Arabidopsis thaliana: one gene and its partners. The protein of the gene in region 1 interacts with the protein of each later gene in a pairwise test. Each region holds a gene or a part of one and is shown on either strand. Other genes may lie near its edges.

Region 1 (4,590 bases):
ATCACAGTGACCAAACTTATGGCTTTCGTTTAGAGGTTTCGTACCTGGTTCAGAAGATTTCGGAGTCGAACGCCAATACTCATCACCGATGATCTTCTTCCTCAGCGAATTACGTCGCCTCGAGGTCTCTCCGAACCGAGCCGAGACTCGGAGAATTGAAACGCGATAGTAGTGGAATTTGGAGATGGGCAAGTTGAATCGACGTTGGTTAGCGAGTCTCCTGTTCGAATTGGACGAGAAAGACGAGAAATTGAAGAAACCATCATTGGAGTTTAGTAGAACCTCCATTGATGGAAACCAAAGGGATAAAGCTCACTTCCGAGTGAGAAAACCCCCAAAAGCTGGGTTTAACAGAACAATGATGAAACGTCGTCGTTTCTTAAACAAAGCTAACGCCTTTGAACAACACTACAGTTGAAAAAAGGTTCAACATTTTACATTTTCCAGATATAAAGCTCATCACTTCCAAGTTCCAAAAGCTGGGTTTAACAGAACAATGATGAAACGTCGTCGTTTCGTGGACACAACACAAGCATTACATAAATTTATGAACACTACAGTTGATAAAAGTAAAAGGTTCAACATTTTACGTTTTTCCTCCAGATATAGCAGAATTGTAATGAACTATATATTTTATAATAAAAAAACCTCCATGACATGAGAAAGACAGAGAGAGATACATAAGAACAACCCCAAGTTTATCGTCAGAGAAAACCCTAATTACAGATAACCATGGTTACAGAGACAAGGCCAAATCGGTGAGGTTTTCAAAATCAGTTTGATTTTTTTTTTTTAATTTTCAAGACAAGTTTGGGATACAAGCTCCTCCACCTTCACCACTTTGTTGTTGCTCTTTCCATATCCTTCCAGTGACTCGAAGTTTCAGCTCTTTCCTATCTCCACCTGAGAAGAAGAGAGCCATGTTTCTTTGTATAATTAGTCCATCATGACTGTCTCTAACTTTCCTGTGGCTGTCTCTTACGCTTCTTGGTGTTCCTTCCCATATCAGCTTCCGACCATAACCTCCCACTTCTAAACTGTAATTGTAGTTTCGAGCTTCTGTCTCGTCCCCCATGAAACGCAGGAACGCCATGTAGACTGGAGCCATTCCGAGCTGGAATGCCTCAAAGTGAAGACAGAAGTATTGACCGAAGCAGTGAAAGACCTGATTTTCATTTTTGAACCAGAAACAAAACCAAAACAGAGGAAACCTTGATAAGCATTAAAGTATATCAAGTCAACATGTATAGCGAGATGGAAGATTCACAATTCACAACCATAGATTAGATAAATAACTGGACCTTCTCTAGGAAAGCTAACTCGCAACAAAAGCAAAATTTGACTCAGCTGATCACATTACAGTTTATACCAGACAGATCAAATTTTATCACAAATATAATCCTATTACTTTAAACAAAGCCTCCTAACTTATCTAAGTGTATACTATGAAGCACGATTCATATGTACTTACAGTTAACATCCATGTGGCGTTTTCGACTTCACGAGGATTAGACTTGACATAACGATGGTTGAAAGTACACCCAGAATGCATATCCACCTTATGATCATCCCTCAGATGAGCAACTAAGAAAGGGATATCGCCCGTAACAGAACACTCGGATCCAGCATAAGGGCAGCTATAAGGTCTGAAGTTACATACAGTCTCATGTTTGAGCTTACTGTAATAAGGGAAGATTTCAGGACATCCAAGTGACATGTGTTTACAAGGTAGTTCAAGTGATTCGGCTACTTTTTCCAGTGCCAAACAACGGATATCACCGAGCTCTTGTCTACAAGTTGGGCAGCGGTTGTGAACCCTGGCTTTACAGGTTGAACACAACGTATGTCCATTGTGACACTGTAGGGAAATCAAATAATTGTCTATCTGTTATTCCATAATTCTCTAAAGAAACAATAAGAAGAATCTTAGAAACTATCAAAGCTATTGACAAAATTTAGTGACAATTGTTTCAATTGTAGCCATTAGTGAATGGATAAAACTAAATTTCAAGTTACAAGAGCAACACAACCACTGCTTCAACATCCATGATTCACATCATTAACTCAAAACCCTAAACAAAATCAACAAATTAAAGATCCGGGGAAACGAAATCAGAGAACAAGGGATTGAAAAGAAAGACCTGATGAATGGGAGGGTACATAGAATTGGTGCAGACAGGACATTCGAGAAGCTCATGAACACTGGTGGTGGTAGGGAGAAGCCCAGAAGCAGCAGCATTAACGTTGGTGGTGTTGTTATTAGTATGATGATGCTTGGAAACAGAAGCGTAGGAATGGCGATCTTGGTGGATCTCTTCATCATCTGTCACATCCATGGTTGATGTACAGTCCATGCTATCCAAATCCATTGAAGAAAGGTGGAGACTTTGATTGATCTTCGATCGAAACGAAAGATCAAAATCCGGAATTGAAGAAACACCACCGAAACAGGTCAACCCTCGTGAAGTGTTGTTAATTTTCAAAAACAAAAAAGATAGATGCTCTTCTTCATCAATTCTCTAGAGAGAGAGAGAGAGATAGTTGCCGTCAAATGAACCGGAAACGCTGATTTAAGATCGGACGGTCACAAAGGCGGCTGTGTTAAAGAGAGAATGTTATTTGGAAACAAATTGAATTATAAGAGATTCAGAAGAATTTACTGGATAGGGGAAAAATAATCATATTCTAATAATATACGTACAGTATATCCTCTCTCACTCAATGATTTCTTTGTTTTTAATTAAAGGGCCATGATCCAGTAGAGATGGGCCTAAATATGTACATGGTGCACATGATTGCTTCTTTTTTTTTATTCTAGATGTTTTTCTCTCTAGTGGGATTCTGTCTATCATTATTGTGTGTTCTTTTTTTACTTTTAATTCAAACAATTTCTTTTCCTTTGTACAAGAAAAATGATTTTCAACTTCTAAAATGACAGCTAAATTCAAAGATTCATGAAAAACATGCTCATCTTTCTGTTTACTTTAACAAAAACTTTAAGAGATGTATTTAGGTAAAATTAGACGGTTTAAGAATATGAAATTCATAAGAGGAATAATAAGTAATGGGATGTGGCTTGGGTTCAAAGTCACTTCAAAGACCAATGATAATGTAAATGAACATTTTACTCTTCTTCATCTCAAGCAAACTCTCACAATCTTAAAAGCAAATTATTCAATTAATAATTGCTTCTCATCAGTGATCGGTCTCATGAGTGATATCATCCTTAAACACACCACATAAAAGAAAAAGAAAAAAGCGAACAACAACGATCCATCCAGCTTCAATGATCTGTCGTTGCTTTTTAACAGAACATGTCAATTGTACTATTATCTTTCTGTTGGGTTTTGTGACTTTTGTCTGAGAAAAATATAAAGCTTCAAAGAATCTGGGACTTGACTTAAGAACTGTTTTCACAGCTACAAGAGATCACAAGCGGATCTGATTATTCATTCATCAAATATTCTTTAGCTTTTTACTCCTATTTGCATCAAACAATCAAATTTAAGGCACTACTGGATCAAAACTAGAAAGATTTTAGTTATTTGTTACCACTGGTTAGCCGATGTATCCCGGCACTTTTCATCATTGCCCTGAGCCAACTGCTGTGGATTAGTACCTTTTACTCGATTACTAAACAGTCTCTGGGATATTCTATCTTTAGCCGTTGTTTTCTTACGCCTTGTGGAAAAGGTTTGCTTCTTGTTTTTCTTTTCAGCAAAAACTCTATCAAACTCATCATCCATAGCATTCGATCTAGAAGTTGAGGCTATTGCCGCACCACGCAGAACTTCATGATTGTGTTCCTTAACCTTAACCTTAACAAGCTTTGCTCTTTTCCTCACCACTTCTTTGTCTTTCTCCCGGATATTCTTCAGAGCCTCTTTCGCTATTTGCCTAGCTAACTGATTAGGATCAGAATCTGAAGTTGTTTCATCCATAGACACATCCTGGTTGGTCCCTGAAGTTGAAGAAGTTTGGTTTTCACTCTCATCTAATGGAGATTCCTGGATTATGGTGTTTCCTTCATCATCCCGGGGTACAATGGGTCCGTGAAACGGACAGACTCTGAGATCTCTTCTCTGGCAAAGACCACCTTTCTTTAGAGAAGCACGGCATGGAGGTGTCTCTGTTCTCTCTTCTCTATACACGGTTGCCTGAAGATTCAATTCTGCTATTTTATCTGCTGGAATTATAGCATCTTGATCCACCCTGCCCCAGTGGCTCTCGATCTCTAAACCCCGGTAATTAGCTCGAACTTCCGTAGTTGATTCCCAATTAGTCAACTGTGATCCCCAATTCATCACAGGCGCTTCAGAAATTAGCTTGTCTCTAAGAGAGTTTCCACTGCTTCCAACTTTTTTAGTGTTCGACACTTTATTGGACCTAGCTTCTGATGTAGACTTCTTTGCTTCACCTGATGATGGTAAAGATGAATTCTCACTCTGCTGAGTTCTCATCACATGAGCCACGTTCTTGACTGAATCAGTTTTAACCTTGCCATCATCCTCCTCCCAGATATCTTCTTCTTCCTCGTTTGTTTCTTCATTACCGTGAATATCAGTCATTCTTGACATTGTAAAACCAGCT
Region 2 (3,472 bases), on another chromosome or scaffold:
TTTTTGTTTGTTGCAGTCACCAAAAGGAGACATAAGTTACTTGCAGAAGTTCTTTTTAATGTATGTTGGTGGAAGACAACCTTTCCATTTCCAAGAAGATTTCTGCGGCACTGCTCTTTTAAGGTTGTTGTGTGTTTCACTAAATGGTACAAAATAATGTAGCTTTTGGTTTTCTTGCTTGAATAAGTTTTTACATTGATTGTTGGAATAGTGCGGAGTGGCTGAAGACTGACACTAGACGGACTGCTATAGGGCTTGATTTTGATCTTGAGGCGTTAGAATGGTGTATGGATAACAACATTAGTAAACTTGGTTCTGACGTGTATTCAAGAATGTCGCTTTTCCATGGGAATGTTTTAACTCCTCTTGAGGCTAAGCAAGTGAAATCTAAATCCCATGAGCTGATACAAAATATCAGCTTGGATGATGGTGATGATAATGAAGATTTGGCTGATCCGAGTGTTGTCGAATCTTTAGAGAAAGATGGACCTGATTCGTTGCCAAAGAGGGATATTGTGTGTGCTTTTAATTTTAGTTGTTGTTGTCTCCACAAACGCTCGGAGTTGGTTTCTTACTTCAAGAATGCACGTGACGCTTTGTCTAAGAAAGGTGGTATCTTCGTGATGGATTTATATGGAGGTGCTTCTGCTGAGGGACAGTTGAAGCTTCAACGGAAATTCCCTAATTTCACGGTAATAGTTCATTCTTGTACTTCATTCGGTAAAAAAGGGTGTCAGAGCCATAAATATCGAACTTACTAGAGATAACCGTACTAACGATTGTCCATATTCATTTGGCAGTATACATGGGAGCAGGCTGAGTTTGATATTTTAAGCCGCAAGACAAGGATCAGTCTGCACTATCACCTTCAGAAGCAGAACAGAAAGATTCGCCATGCTTTTTCATATAGCTGGAGACTGTAAGTGTCCTGTAGTCTACTTCCACATCCATTCTTTCTTCAAAGTGGGACAGTCATTACCCACAATCTCCCACAAGCCTTAAGAAAATATTACAGTTACAAAAAAACGAAGCATATTTGGTACTTAGGGGTTTGCTTAGCATTTTAGATAACTTGATAAGTGTAGGCTTTTGGTAATTTTGGTTGGCTGGGTGAGGTAGAGATTCTGTAGTGCAGCCACTATGGATCAAAACTTACACAAACATGTGCTCGAATGTTACTGATATCTAAATTCATATGTTAGTGACTTATCCTTGTGTTGGCTGGTAAGTAGCAGTGAAATGATATTGAATGTTATATTCGGGCAAGACAATATTCCTGCTTTCCTTATTGTCTGTAGATTTATTGTACTTGCACTCTTGAATCATTAAGTTCCTGAGAAGTAACTCCTGGATCTGCTGTTCATATATGTGTAGGTGGTCATTGCCGGAGATAAAGGATTGTATGGAGGAAGCTGGGTTTAGCTCAGTCCATTTCTGGCTCAGAGAAATGCCGGACGCTTCTGAAATGCGTAGAACAGATGGGTTTGGTGCTGGACGTGATATCAAGTACGAACAAGTCAAGAGCTTTCAACAGTGTGATTCTTGGAATGCTTACATTGTTGCGGTCAGCCTCTAGTTATGCTTTCTATCTTTTGATCAAAAGACACTAGCCCTTTAACTCAGATCCTTTGTCGATTTTACATCTAGTATTTATTTCTGACACGCACTGGTTTAGTTTCATGATTTCAATATTATTTTTTTGTCGTCTCATGATTTCAATTATCAAGCACAAAATTGTTAAAATGAATAGTGTAGGTGCTTCTGGAATCTTCAACGCTAGCCCAAAAGCCAAATAACACCATTTTCCACAAATTGTCCAATTTCCATCTTACGGCCAACAAAAAAAAGAGTAAAATAACAATTTAATTTTGTATCGATTGCGTCGTCGTTAGTTTTCCCATTTCCTCATAATTCTTCATCTCTTTCCTTTCTCATCTCTCGATTCCTTTCTTTCTTTCCATATTCCATTGATTTCTCTCTTCTTATAAAAATACAGATTCTCTCTTCTTAGAACCATCACCGATTCGAACAGATCTAATAAATCGTTTTTTTCACCAGGTAATGACTTGTTGTTTTCGCCGATCCATTAGTTTTTTCTTTCTGTTCTATAGTTTTGATGAGATTTAAGCAACAGATCTATTGATTTTTGATTCCATCGATCGGTTAATTTTGTAGATTTTTTTCGCCGGAGTTTGTTTTGATCCATTCTGTTATGGCGGAAGAACACAGACTTCAAGAACCACGATTATGTGCTAACAATTGTGGCTTCTTCGGAAGCACAGCTACACAAAATCTCTGTTCCAAATGTTTTCGAGATCTTCAACATCAAGAACAAAACTCTTCCACCGCCAAACATGCTCTTACCCAATCCTTAGCCGCCGTTGGCGCTGCTGCGTCTTCCTCCGTGTCGCCACCGCCTCCGCCTCCAGCTGATTCGAAAGAAATCGTTGAAGCGAAATCAGAGAAACGAGCGGCGGCTGAACCGGAGGAGGCGGATGGTCCGCCGCAAGATCCGAAGCGGTGTTTGACTTGTCGGCGGCGCGTGGGAATCACGGGGTTTCGGTGTAGGTGTGGTTTCGTTTTCTGCGGGACGCATAGGTACGCGGAGCAACATGAATGTTCGTTTGATTTCAAGCGGATGGGGAAGGATAAGATCGCTAAAGCGAATCCGATTGTGAAAGCTGATAAGCTTGAGAAGATTTGACTTTGTTGTTTGTTGTTTGTTGTTGTTGCTTTGGTTTTGTGCGTTTGAATGAAACACACATGAAGAAGAAAGAGCAAGAAACAAACATGTCAATGTAAATTTAAGCTTTATTTGATGATTTCTTCAGTTTGGTTATTAAATTTGCTTATTATTGATTTGATTGTTCCGTTTGATGATCTTGTAGAAGGCTTAAGTCGTATTATCAATGTGTAGAATTTGGATTTGGTTGATTGGTTCGTCATTACATTAGCCATTAGCCAATATGTAGAACAGAGAAAAGCATGACAACAACATAGGGTAGTCTTATTACAATGCATTGGAGAAAAGCACAAACTCAGAATTTCAAACCAGAATTTTGAAGTTTCTCTTGGATGATCATGTCGATTTTGTTCTCCATTTCAGGAGTCAAATAGTTCTTCCAATCACCGACTTCTCCTTTACGGAAAAATGTTTTGTTATCTCTACCTTCACATAATTTTCCGGTCTTATTGATCTCCAAACTGCTTAGATTACGTAGAGAGCAAAGATCTATAATCTCATCCACCAATCCGTTCTCTTCTTCTTCCTTAGTAAAGGAGAATCTAAGAACTCAGCAAGTCTCTTGATCTGCTCATGAGGTTCTGCTTTCATCTCCTCAAACCTCATGAAAAGGACATGATTTGGATCTTCCAAGCTTCTTCTCCAGTAGCTTAAGACTTGGTCCCAAAAAGGCCCAAAAAAGTTGACTCCCTTACAAAAAGACTCGAACGTTTCCTCGAAACTGGTTTT
Region 3 (5,070 bases), on another chromosome or scaffold:
GCAGGATTACCTGTGTAAACATAGCATGCATCCACAAATCAAATCTCTAGAATGATCCAGATGAGTAGTTTCAGATATTCCAGGACTGCTGGCTCAGAGATCACAGCGAAACAGGACATACCACACATGCTGTTTCTGTTAAAGGTCAATGTTCCAGCTGGTGATCTTCTAGCTGGAAGTCCCTTTGCACTCCATTCAATGAAAGGAACAGCCTCATCTATGTTGTACCCACTAGTCCATGTCACGGTCATCTATCAAAGATAGAAAAATAAGCAAGTTTTAGCTAAAGATCCCAAATATTGTATAGCTGCTTCAGAAGTCTCAAGGCCATTGAGTGGAAAAACTTACTTCGTCCCAATTCTTCCCTAATGCAAGACGCGGATAGACAGGTGCTTTAGGATTGAAGAAAGCTACAGGATTCGAAACCCCGAGAAGGTGTGGCTGTGATATTCAAAAGATCAATAATTAAGTCCACTTGATATACAAAATACTAAACTGAGAAAAACTATAGTTATAACCTACCTCTTGAACTCCATTGGAAAACAGTGCAAAGGAGACATCAGCTCTCTGATTTATAATCTGGAACTTGAGAGTCACATTCCCGGACTTCATGTAATCTGGATGAGAATTACAATACATGTACTGCCAAATAGAAATTAAAAGGGGAATGTTACACCGGGACTTAAAAAAAAAAAAAAAATCACTGGTAAATATGTAATAAACCAAACCTTGATGGGAGAAGAGCATATGTAAGGAGTTTTCTCTTTGCCACCACTTGTTGGCCAACAGTTACCCGAACTAACAAACAACAAAGACAAGTTAATAATGCACAAATGGCACGTTCACAAGTTAACAAACACAGATGCAGATTAGAAAAAATACTCGAATTTTGCTGGAGAGAAAACTCCTATCCAATCATCTGAAGTGGGCTTGGGGTTGGAGATAGCAAGATTTACCCATTCTGTATCTTCACCCTGTAAGATCAAAGTCATGACATCAATAACATATCTATTTAAGTTTGGTTTTTGTGATAATTACGTGAAATCAAGAAAACATATTCAAGTCTATCATACAATTTTTTTGACATTTAAAAAAACCATCTCTTAAGAGTTAATATATATCTGTCAAACAAGAATCTGACAAGAACAATAATATGATGAAAGAATTTGTTATTGGAACCTGGGAACCAAGAACTTGAGGCGAAGCGTGAAGTTTGACAGAACTATCTAAAGCAAGACTTGTTTCGTAAACATTAATTTGAGCAAGTGCTTGATCTCCACGACCATTGGCATGATCCAAACATAAGCTCGAGCTGAACAGTGCGAGTAAACACAGAAGCACACCTAAAACTCTAGCCATATTTTTTTTTGTTTTTCCTTTGTTGTGACTGAGAAACAAAACCAGAAAGGTATATATATATATATTATAATCAGGATATATCTAGGAATCCCAAAATTGATTCATGTCTATCGAATTAAACAAAATCAAATATTTTCTTTCACCGTCAAATCTTTAGTCAGGAATATTCTAACAGTTTCTTTTTAATATTCTAACAGTTTTTTCTTAATGATAGTTCATACTGTTTTAAAAACAAATAATGATAACGGAAAAAACGGATTTTCGTTTTATTCAGACTTATGTACATTAGGCTGATCCGGGTCGGACCGGCTTTGAACCGGAAATTAATAAAGCTTGATTGTTAAATTTGGCAACCGTGGCTTCGGTTTCAATCGCGCTGTAATCGCATCACTAATTCGGGTCACTTTGGAAAGAAAGAAGAAGAAGATGAAGAAACCATCGAAAAAGAGCGAAATCGAGTTCTGCACGGTGTGCCGGTTTCATCACGACCAAGGCTCGCGCCACAAGTACTTCCCTCGCCACAAAAGTTCCCTCTCTTCCTTACTCGATCGATTCAGATCGAAGATAGCTGACGTCAGATTCTTCCTGAAGAACCCTAGCGTTCTACGGCCACAAGAGCAGTCGCAAAACCGTGTTTGGTGTGTCTTCTGCGATGAGGACATTGTTGAGCTCGGTAGCTCCTTCGCCTGGTATGCCATTCCGTTTTCTCTTTCCTCTCGATTTGTGACTGTTTGTTTGATTTGGGTTCATTGTTGTGCGAACATTAGTAGCTGTGTTACTTTATTTGAATGTAGAATCAGAGTGCGCAAGAGTTGATTGAAACTGTGCTAGAAAACTGGGATTGTATCTAAACTGATGCGTCTTCTGATGATAATTGATTTATTTGACTGCACATAATACTTTGTTTGGAAACTTTGTATCAGTTCTAAGGCTATCAATCACTTCGCAAGTTCCGATCATCTTAAGAATATCAAGCAATTTCTGTCGAAAAATGGCCCGGCAATGGATTGCATAGACGAGTTCCGAATTTCAGAAGCTGATGTAGCTAAGGTATGCACTATTTACTTGAATATTATGCTCTTCTGTTTTTACAGATCTCAATTGCAACCTTTGCGGTTTAAGAGTGTAGCCATGTTATTCGTTGAAATCTCTAATGAAATTCTATTCATGCTGGATGCAGTGGGAGAAAAAATGTCAGTCATTTGGAAATGAAGATGCATCTTTTGAAGGGTCCTGTGGACAGCTGTCTGGGACATCTAATGATATCCACACTAAACTTGCGTTTGAAACTATGGATAGAATTAAAAAAGTTCCTGCACACCATATAAATTCATATAAATCAAATGATGTTATGCCTTTACAGTATAATACGAATGAGTATCAGATATCACTTTCAGAGATTCCTGGAGTTATACATAATGGTTCATATCTGAACATGGATGATTCCCAATTCCCTCTATGTGATGAATCAGGTATTTTTGGTTGATTCCGACCTCCACAATTTGTCAGTTTCCAAGTGTTTACAAGTTGTGTATAATAGTCTCTAACTCTCTATAATTATATTTTCTAGGGAACGGGTTTGGCGAACATTCCATTCCTTGTAGAAGCAAGGACTACTCGGGCAACGGTAATTATTGCACCCAAGAGGTGGGTTTCAGTCATAGTAACATTGATATTCTGATAATCTGGTTATGGTGCATCTATATGACGCTTCCTGTTAGTTTCATCATGAGGATTCTTTGGCTCAGAATTTTGGTTATAGGCTAGTTTTTCTAAAGTTTATGGTCTTAAGTATTCCTTGGTTCAGGAATTTCTTATGTGTTATATGCGTAATTTGCACATCAAAAAAATTCTTCTATATATGAGAGGTTTTTTAGGCAGAATGAATTTTATTAAAGTTTGGGGTAAGAAATACTTTTGTGTGTTGTTTTTATCATCAAAGTTCCTTCACTGTTTGGCTATCTTTTTCCATGTGTTCAACTACATCATACCTCCAGAGCTATCTCATTGGCTAAGTCCAAACTTTTATAAAAGAGCCTGTGACTGACATTGTCTTCATCTAGAATTATCAGGTGAGCCAAGATAAGAAACAAATTGATGGCTCTTACAATCCTCCAGGTAGGCCTCTGCTTTCAAATTTGATCTGCGTTGTGTTAATTTCATGATTAGGGCTTTATCGTCTAGGTCTATGAATTTCATTAACGTAGCCAATCTTATATGCACTACTTTTAATGGCATGGGTTTTATTTTTTTCAGGTGTGGTGGGAATGACTAGCATTTCGTCCTCACATTCCACTGATGCTGGCGGGAACGTTCACTCTGGAGCTCCTCCACCTTGGCTTGATGCAAATGATGGGGATTTTTCTAGTGTTCAACTAAACCAATCAGATGTGGCCCGCTTTCAGGCAAAGGTACCTGGAAAGAATCGTAAGCTGAATCCTAATAGGGTTGGCGCTGCATGGGCTGAAAGGAGAAAGATAGAGATAGAAATGGAGAAGAGTGGACATGTAACGAAGAGTAACATTGATCCAGACTGGCTTCCCAACTTTGGTCGGGTTTGGCAATCAGGCACTAGAAAAGAATCCAGGAAAGAATTTGAGAAGGAAAAACGGAAGTTAGTGAAAACTGAAAGCATCTCTACAGAATCAGAACCAGTCAAAATACAACCGTACATTAGCAAACGGGCGGTAAGTTTTTACCTTTGCTCATGTTGAATTATAAATGACTACTGGTCTCATGTCATTTGATATTTTTTCTACTTCTCAAACGTATTTGTTTGGATTGATATTCCTTTTAGCGACATATCATGTGGTTTCCTTTTATACTCAACATAAAAGGATACATATTGCTTTGTTGCTACTGTTTTAAATTTAGTTCGAGAAATACTTTTCAGTGGTCTTATGTATATACATTAATTGTGATTGCAGCGAAGAGAGAGTGGTGAGTAATGGCGGTGGCTGACATCCAAAATGGCAACTAGTAAGGATTATCTCATGTAGGAATTTTATAATCCTCGTTTCCTGGAGATCCTACTCCAATGTATCTTGTTTTCATGTTGAGCTATGATAGAATTTAGAAGTATGTGATCCTGGGACTCCTTTCAAGTAGTGTAAAAAATGGATAAAATTTTGTTTTTGGTACGAGAGATTTTAAAGGGTTAAAGTTTTACGTAGCTTATGCAGTAATAAAATATAGCATGGAGAAGGCCTTTCTCCACTATCTGATCTTCCTTTGGGTTCTTCATCTTAAGAAAGATCTAAATCTTTTCATCTGATGTTTCTTTTTCTGGGGGAGATAAAGTGAAATAACTTTGTTGTGTGGTTCATAGATTGTGGCCATCTCAACAAACTGTATCTATTTTCTAGTTGGATACACATATTTAGAATGACATTTGTACACTAAATTACTTTAATTCGAATATTTCCCTACGGTGGTATGAGATTAAGACACAGTAGTGTGTAGAACTAAGGGAGTAACATTGTTGCTCTTGATTAAATGTACAAAATTTAGCTATTATCTGATGATGACTGTTTCTGGTGAGCAAAACCTGGATGCATTTGATTGACGCTTGATCCTAAACTTCCAGAAGGTTCCTTTAGCTGAAACCAGATTCTCCTGGCACAAGAACTCCCAGGAGAGCCACTTTTCAGCTGTCCTGTGCACATCATGCACGAAAACATCTGTTGTTGAGTTGCTACTTCCTTTTCTTGC
Region 4 (5,201 bases), on another chromosome or scaffold:
AAACCGAGTGTAAAAGAAAAAGAGTTGAACCAAGTATTTTATTCAACAACTAAAGAACCTATGTCGTTAGAAAAAAACCCACAACACTTACAGTCTGATATGGTCTACTTCACGAGCACTAGATGTAAAACAGAATTTTTGTGTGAATAAATTTTACATTCGTTCAAAGTCCACAATCTCTTGATACTCCAAAAAGAAAAGAAAAATGGGATGAATATTCTCTTGTACATAATAATAATTCAAAATTTGCGGCCACCGGATTTGCCAAGTGATTAAATGATCCCTTGAATGTTCTCTTGTATTTTGGTCTCTATTTTTTTGAAATTAGGTTCGTCCATTGAAATGCGGGCCCTAAAACCTGAAACCAATGCAGGACTTTTGTGGTAGTCATGTTATTTACCTACCTTATCTTATCACTATTTATTACTACGAAAATCGTTTTTTTTTTTTGTAACAGACCGTCATAGGAATAGAACTATAGGAGTGGTAGCCAATAATTTCTGAGTTTCTGACACAGACATATGGAGTCTAATGTAGTCGTATCTGTATTGTCATCATTCTTCTTATATATCAGCAACCAATAATTCCTTTCTTCCCAAACGATTTTACAATACAGATCAGAGTAACACAAAACAGTATATACAAATCTTTGCATCATGGGTTTGTCATAACTCTAATGCTCACATTACCATAAATAATCAGATCTATTCACATGCATTTTACTCTTCTGAAACTCTATTATTTCACTCGCTGATTAAATTACTAATACATGTGTGAGAGATTTGAAAATTCAAACAAGCGGTTTGAAGCAAAGCATCAAATCTGAGGGATTTTTTGGCTTTTCATTTTCAGCTTCTTGTGTTAGTGTCTGGTCAGCTTCAATTATCACATCACTTTCTTCTCAAAAAGTGCACTCTTTTCACTTTTGCTTCAAGTAGATAATCTGAAAACACAAAGCAAACTTTTAGAACCATGTTTTTATAAGCTAAAGGAAACAGAGATTTTTTTTCTTTACTAAAAAGATGGTTTTACCTGGTGGTTGGTTTCTGTAGTGTTGTATGCATACAGTCTTGGAACTGGTCTCTTCGTGATCTCTTTTGAAAAACTGAACCTCCTCTTTGACCGTTGTTCGTATCTGTTGATTCTCGCATCCCCTGGTCGTACGCAGCCATTTCATTAGCTGTGTTTCTGTTCCGTGGTCTCTCCTCGGTTTTTCTCCAGAACTTGGGACTTAAGAACTCTGTACCAGGTAGTTTGGAACAACTGTCTCCTGCGCAGCCACTACTATTCCTAGGAACTCTCCCGTTTGAAACCGCCAGATCGCACGATATTTCATCCAACGCCATCTCTAGACCGCTTACACGAGACTCCAGAGACTGAATTCCACTCTGTGAGGTTCCCATGAATTTCTACATCCAAAATGAAAAAAAAAATCAGTGAGGATTGAGCTATCTACAACATTCATAACCAAACAATTTATCTACATAAAGGGACACTATGCTTATTAAAGACCAAGTGTATACCTGTAGTAAGTCTAAGAGACTAGACTGTTGGTTCTCAATCAGAGCAAGCTGTTCCCGTATCAAAGACAGTTCCTCACTATCTTTCTTGCTCTCTTCAACATCATCTTTACAATTCTTTACAGAATCACCATCGTCACTACAAGGTGCAACCCTTGAGCCAGACCTCAAACCACCAAAGCTCGATACTTTACTATCTTCCCTGCTTTTCTCAGAGATAGTATGTTTGATTATATCTGGTCCCCCTGAGTTAGCCTTCTCTTCTGTTTCTTCCGAAGATTTCTTTACCGGTGTAAAATGTGGTCCCTTGTTATCCACACTAGAGGCTTCTTCTACTAACATGGTCATATTCCCTTGATTTCTTTTTGGAAGATTTTCTTTTTGTCTAGTTGCTGCATATGATCTATTCACAGGCAAAGATGGGGACCTCTTCATTATAGGCGTTACTTTCTTTGGCCTAGCGGATTTTAAACCAACGTCAATGGTGGAACTTCTCGTGACAGAGGAAAAGCATCCAATGTTACCATCATCTGAGAAATCAAATTGAAGCAAGTCCCTAGTTTAATTTGCATTCTCACTGTATTGAGACAACTAAGTAATGACTACTAGTACATACCTGTTGAAGATCTTGATGGAGATAAAGAAGCTTCATCATCAGTTGAAACTTCCTTCCACAGATTCAATGCTCTATTCATAGTTTCTCTAACACTTTTCACCTACATTGTGAATCCACTAAGTCTCAAAATCTGATTTAAGATTGAACACAAAAACAAAACTTTAAGTCTCTATTTTTTTTACCTTATCAAATCTTCTACTCTCAAGAGCCGTCGTGCAAGTCTTCTTATACTGCGACGCCAAATCTTCCGCCGTCGCAACTTTACCCAACGCCTCAGCCGCAGACTTCCTCGCCGCCCAATCCTCACTGCTCAAAAACTCAATCAAAACCGGAACTAACCAATCCAAAACCGGTTTAGTTCCCGCACCACCGGCGGTAATTATACTCCCGACGGCACTCAACAACGCAGCTTTAGCCTTAAAACCATCACTCTTAAGCAATTTCCCAATCTTAGGCAACGATTTTCTCAATTGCTCCGATTCCGGATCCGTCGCCGCATCAACAGACGCCGCTAAACACAACGCCGCTCCGATCTGCAGATTCGAATCACCTTCCTGAATCAAAGTCTCAATCAACGGCTTCGCGACGGAAGCAAAAGGCTGCCTCGTAACATGAGCCGACATATCAGCCGTCGCGACGGCGCAAGCAGAGCGAACGGAGGAATCCGGATCTCGGAGACGGCGAATAACAGTTGAAACCATCTTAGCAAGGTGAGGTGTTAGAGAATCTCCGTGGTAACGAGAAAGAACCGATAAAAGAGCAACGCACTGTTTCCTCACCGGAGATTTAACGGAAGAGTCAGTGTTGTGGATACAGTTAAGAAACGGAGAGAAGGAATCGTGAGTAAGGTTTCTAGCGATTGAGTCAAGCTCAGCGGAAGCGAGAGCTAAAGTGTCACGATCAGCGAGCTTGTTGAGACAAGCGATGACTCGTTGCTTTAGATCAGGTGGTGTTGACGGTGACTGTGAAGACGGAGATGTGGAAGAAGACGACGGAGATAATGAAATCGGTGGACTCGCCGGAAATCGTCCGTGAACCGACATTTTTTTTTCCGATTTGAGTTTTTTTTTGTTGGTAGTGAGAAAACGTGTTCACATTAAATGTGTGGAAACTGCTTTGAATATGGCGGCAGAGAGATTTCTCCGATTATGCGTAGAGACGGTTTGGGCTATTTGGGTTTTTAAATGCTTACAAAGAAGAGGGACTTTGTGTAAATAAATTAAATAATGTTACTATTTTCATAATCTTGCTTTTGTTAATGTCTTTTAGATATTGCAATAAATAAATACACTACTTGACGAAATAAAAAATGTAATGTTCTAACATTATAGTAATATATGTGAAAAATACTTTGATGATTGTTCGTTAGTGTCTACTTTGGGAAAAAATTAAAGGGAAAATAATGTTGAAAGTATTCATATTTTTGGTCTTAAAGAGAACATTATTGCAATATTTTCTTCAACAATAAAAGTAGATAAACTCTAACTAGTTTGTTCAAATATTCTCTTTCATTTATTTACTCTATTTCTTTTACAATCGAAATAATTCGAAATCTGTATATTTCATTTAATTTACTTTTTTTTGCAGATTTTATTTAAGTTGCTGAATTAAATGTGTGTTTTTTACTACATTTTTTGCGTTCATTATTCGTCCCATTGGAAATTTAATTTGGTTAGATGAAAGTTATTTTTTAATAACCCAAATATTTTTAGCTATTTCGATAATGATAGCAAAAATCTAAATTGGATTTGAAGAAATAGTCATAGTCATTGGTGAGTTTTCTTAGTGTAGGTCAGAAAGATTCGGTCCTTTTTTTTGGATGTCGTGTTAAATCTCACAGAAGAAAGTTATAATATATGATTTTGAAAGTTCAAATAAAATGTTGTATCATCATCACCATTACCAAATGATACGACAAAAAAAGGAAATTGAAACAAAATAAAAAAACTGACAGGCAATGGAATATATCCCAACTGGCGAACCTTAGAACAGTTCCAAATTTACAGTTATATATATTAATAAAGTGATTAAGACAAAAGAAATGAAATAATATGTTGTGTTTTTGGTAATGATGCTGTTTTAATAATCTCTTTGACATTTGACTTGTTCAGAGTATCAATGATGCTAATCAGATTTAATCTTGAATATATTAGTTTCTGGGGCCAAAATGATTTGACTTAAGTTTACATGATGTAAGAAATGACAACCACCATATTTAATTTCGTATTAATTAAACAGTGGATGGAGATAGTACATTTGTTAATTGATGAATATATGATCCGATTACGTGATTATATGATTTTTGTATAATCAAGTTTTAGAGAAAGAAAAAAACCATGGTAAATAAAGAGTGGCACAGAAGTAAATATGAAGAGAAAGAGGTAGAGAGAGACATTAAGGGAAATAATGTGAAAGCACGTGAAGAGGAAATGGAGAGAGCAGGCAAATTGGGCAGACGAGCACGTGACTTGATTAATTCCTCTCCCCCTGCTAAAAATTTAATTCGTATCTTTTTTTTTACCTCTACATGCATTTGACATTCGAAAAAAGCTTCATGTTTTATATAAGAACTTTTTTTTTACTAATTTTGTAATTCGTAATGAAGAAAATAAATATAAAAAGTATTGCAATAATGTGTTGTTTGGTGTATGAGTTGTAGAGGACATAAAACAACAAACAATTCTCCTACAAACATTGATCCTGTTTCATTGACTAATTATTTGGTAATATATGTTACATATTTGCATACTTAAATCAAAAATATCTTTTGAACAGGATCAATTTTGTTGAAGCCTTTTTATAGGAACAAGAAAAAAAAAATCATTTGTTGATAATCCAAAACTAACATGCATGAGGCGAATATTATGCAACAAGCAAATGATATTTCGAACGTAAATAGCTTAAAGCATTAACAAGGTATGGTTACTTATGCTCTACGTTTATATGAATCTCATCCCATGTACCGTCTGTTGTTCCAAACGAATAGTGATTCAATCTGCAACAAATAAATGAAGAGAAAAACAAACTGAAAATATTAGCCCTAGCTAATTTGGATACATCCTTTT

What was found.
Region 2: the proteins of AT3G61790 (region 1) and AT2G27580 interact in a two-hybrid assay, tested with the Arabidopsis thaliana proteins (one large-scale study listed by BioGRID).
Region 3: the proteins of AT3G61790 (region 1) and TTL interact in a two-hybrid assay, tested with the Arabidopsis thaliana proteins (one large-scale study listed by BioGRID).
Region 4: the proteins of AT3G61790 (region 1) and AT1G27210 interact in a two-hybrid assay, tested with the Arabidopsis thaliana proteins (one large-scale study listed by BioGRID).

What each region holds. Positions count from the first base shown.
Region 1 is NC_003074.8:22,871,175-22,875,764, forward strand, and holds AT3G61790 (Protein with RING/U-box and TRAF-like domain), read right to left. Parts: upstream 2,660-4,590; 5' UTR 2,370-2,659; coding exon 2,142-2,369; intron 1,859-2,141; coding exon 1,472-1,858; intron 1,166-1,471; coding exon 800-1,165; 3' UTR 523-799; downstream 1-522. Other genes in the region: emb1703 (embryo defective 1703), read right to left, coding at 1-288; AT3G61800 (ENTH/VHS protein), read right to left, coding at 3,549-4,590. UniProt on the Arabidopsis thaliana protein: E3 ubiquitin-protein ligase that mediates ubiquitination and subsequent proteasomal degradation of target proteins.
Region 2 is NC_003071.7:11,775,872-11,779,343, reverse strand, and holds AT2G27580 (A20/AN1-like zinc finger family protein), read left to right. Parts: upstream 1-1,790; 5' UTR 1,791-2,058; intron 2,059-2,175; 5' UTR 2,176-2,212; coding exon 2,213-2,704; 3' UTR 2,705-2,934; downstream 2,935-3,472. Other genes in the region: AT2G27590 (S-adenosyl-L-methionine-dependent methyltransferases superfamily protein), read left to right, coding at 17-123, 212-692, 801-919, 1,375-1,576; AT2G27570 (P-loop containing nucleoside triphosphate hydrolases superfamily protein), read right to left, coding at 3,039-3,204, 3,249-3,457. UniProt on the Arabidopsis thaliana protein: May be involved in environmental stress response.
Region 3 is NC_003075.7:12,813,082-12,818,151, forward strand, and holds TTL (coiled coil protein), read left to right. Parts: upstream 1-1,724; 5' UTR 1,725-1,785; coding exon 1,786-2,048; intron 2,049-2,282; coding exon 2,283-2,409; intron 2,410-2,539; coding exon 2,540-2,831; intron 2,832-2,929; coding exon 2,930-3,006; intron 3,007-3,422; coding exon 3,423-3,477; intron 3,478-3,615; coding exon 3,616-4,046; intron 4,047-4,286; coding exon 4,287-4,307; 3' UTR 4,308-4,541; downstream 4,542-5,070. Other genes in the region: PAP24 (purple acid phosphatase 24), read right to left, coding at 1-10, 122-251, 349-441, 523-642, 729-798, 883-974, 1,180-1,359; AT4G24910 (glucuronoxylan 4-O-methyltransferase-like protein (DUF579)), read right to left, coding at 4,873-5,070. UniProt on the Arabidopsis thaliana protein: Key regulator for endosperm and embryo nuclear divisions.
Region 4 is NC_003070.9:9,454,739-9,459,939, forward strand, and holds AT1G27210 (ARM repeat superfamily protein), read right to left. Parts: upstream 3,439-5,201; 5' UTR 3,180-3,438; coding exon 2,319-3,179; intron 2,237-2,318; coding exon 2,137-2,236; intron 2,051-2,136; coding exon 1,524-2,050; intron 1,410-1,523; coding exon 1,033-1,409; intron 944-1,032; coding exon 931-943; 3' UTR 539-930; downstream 1-538.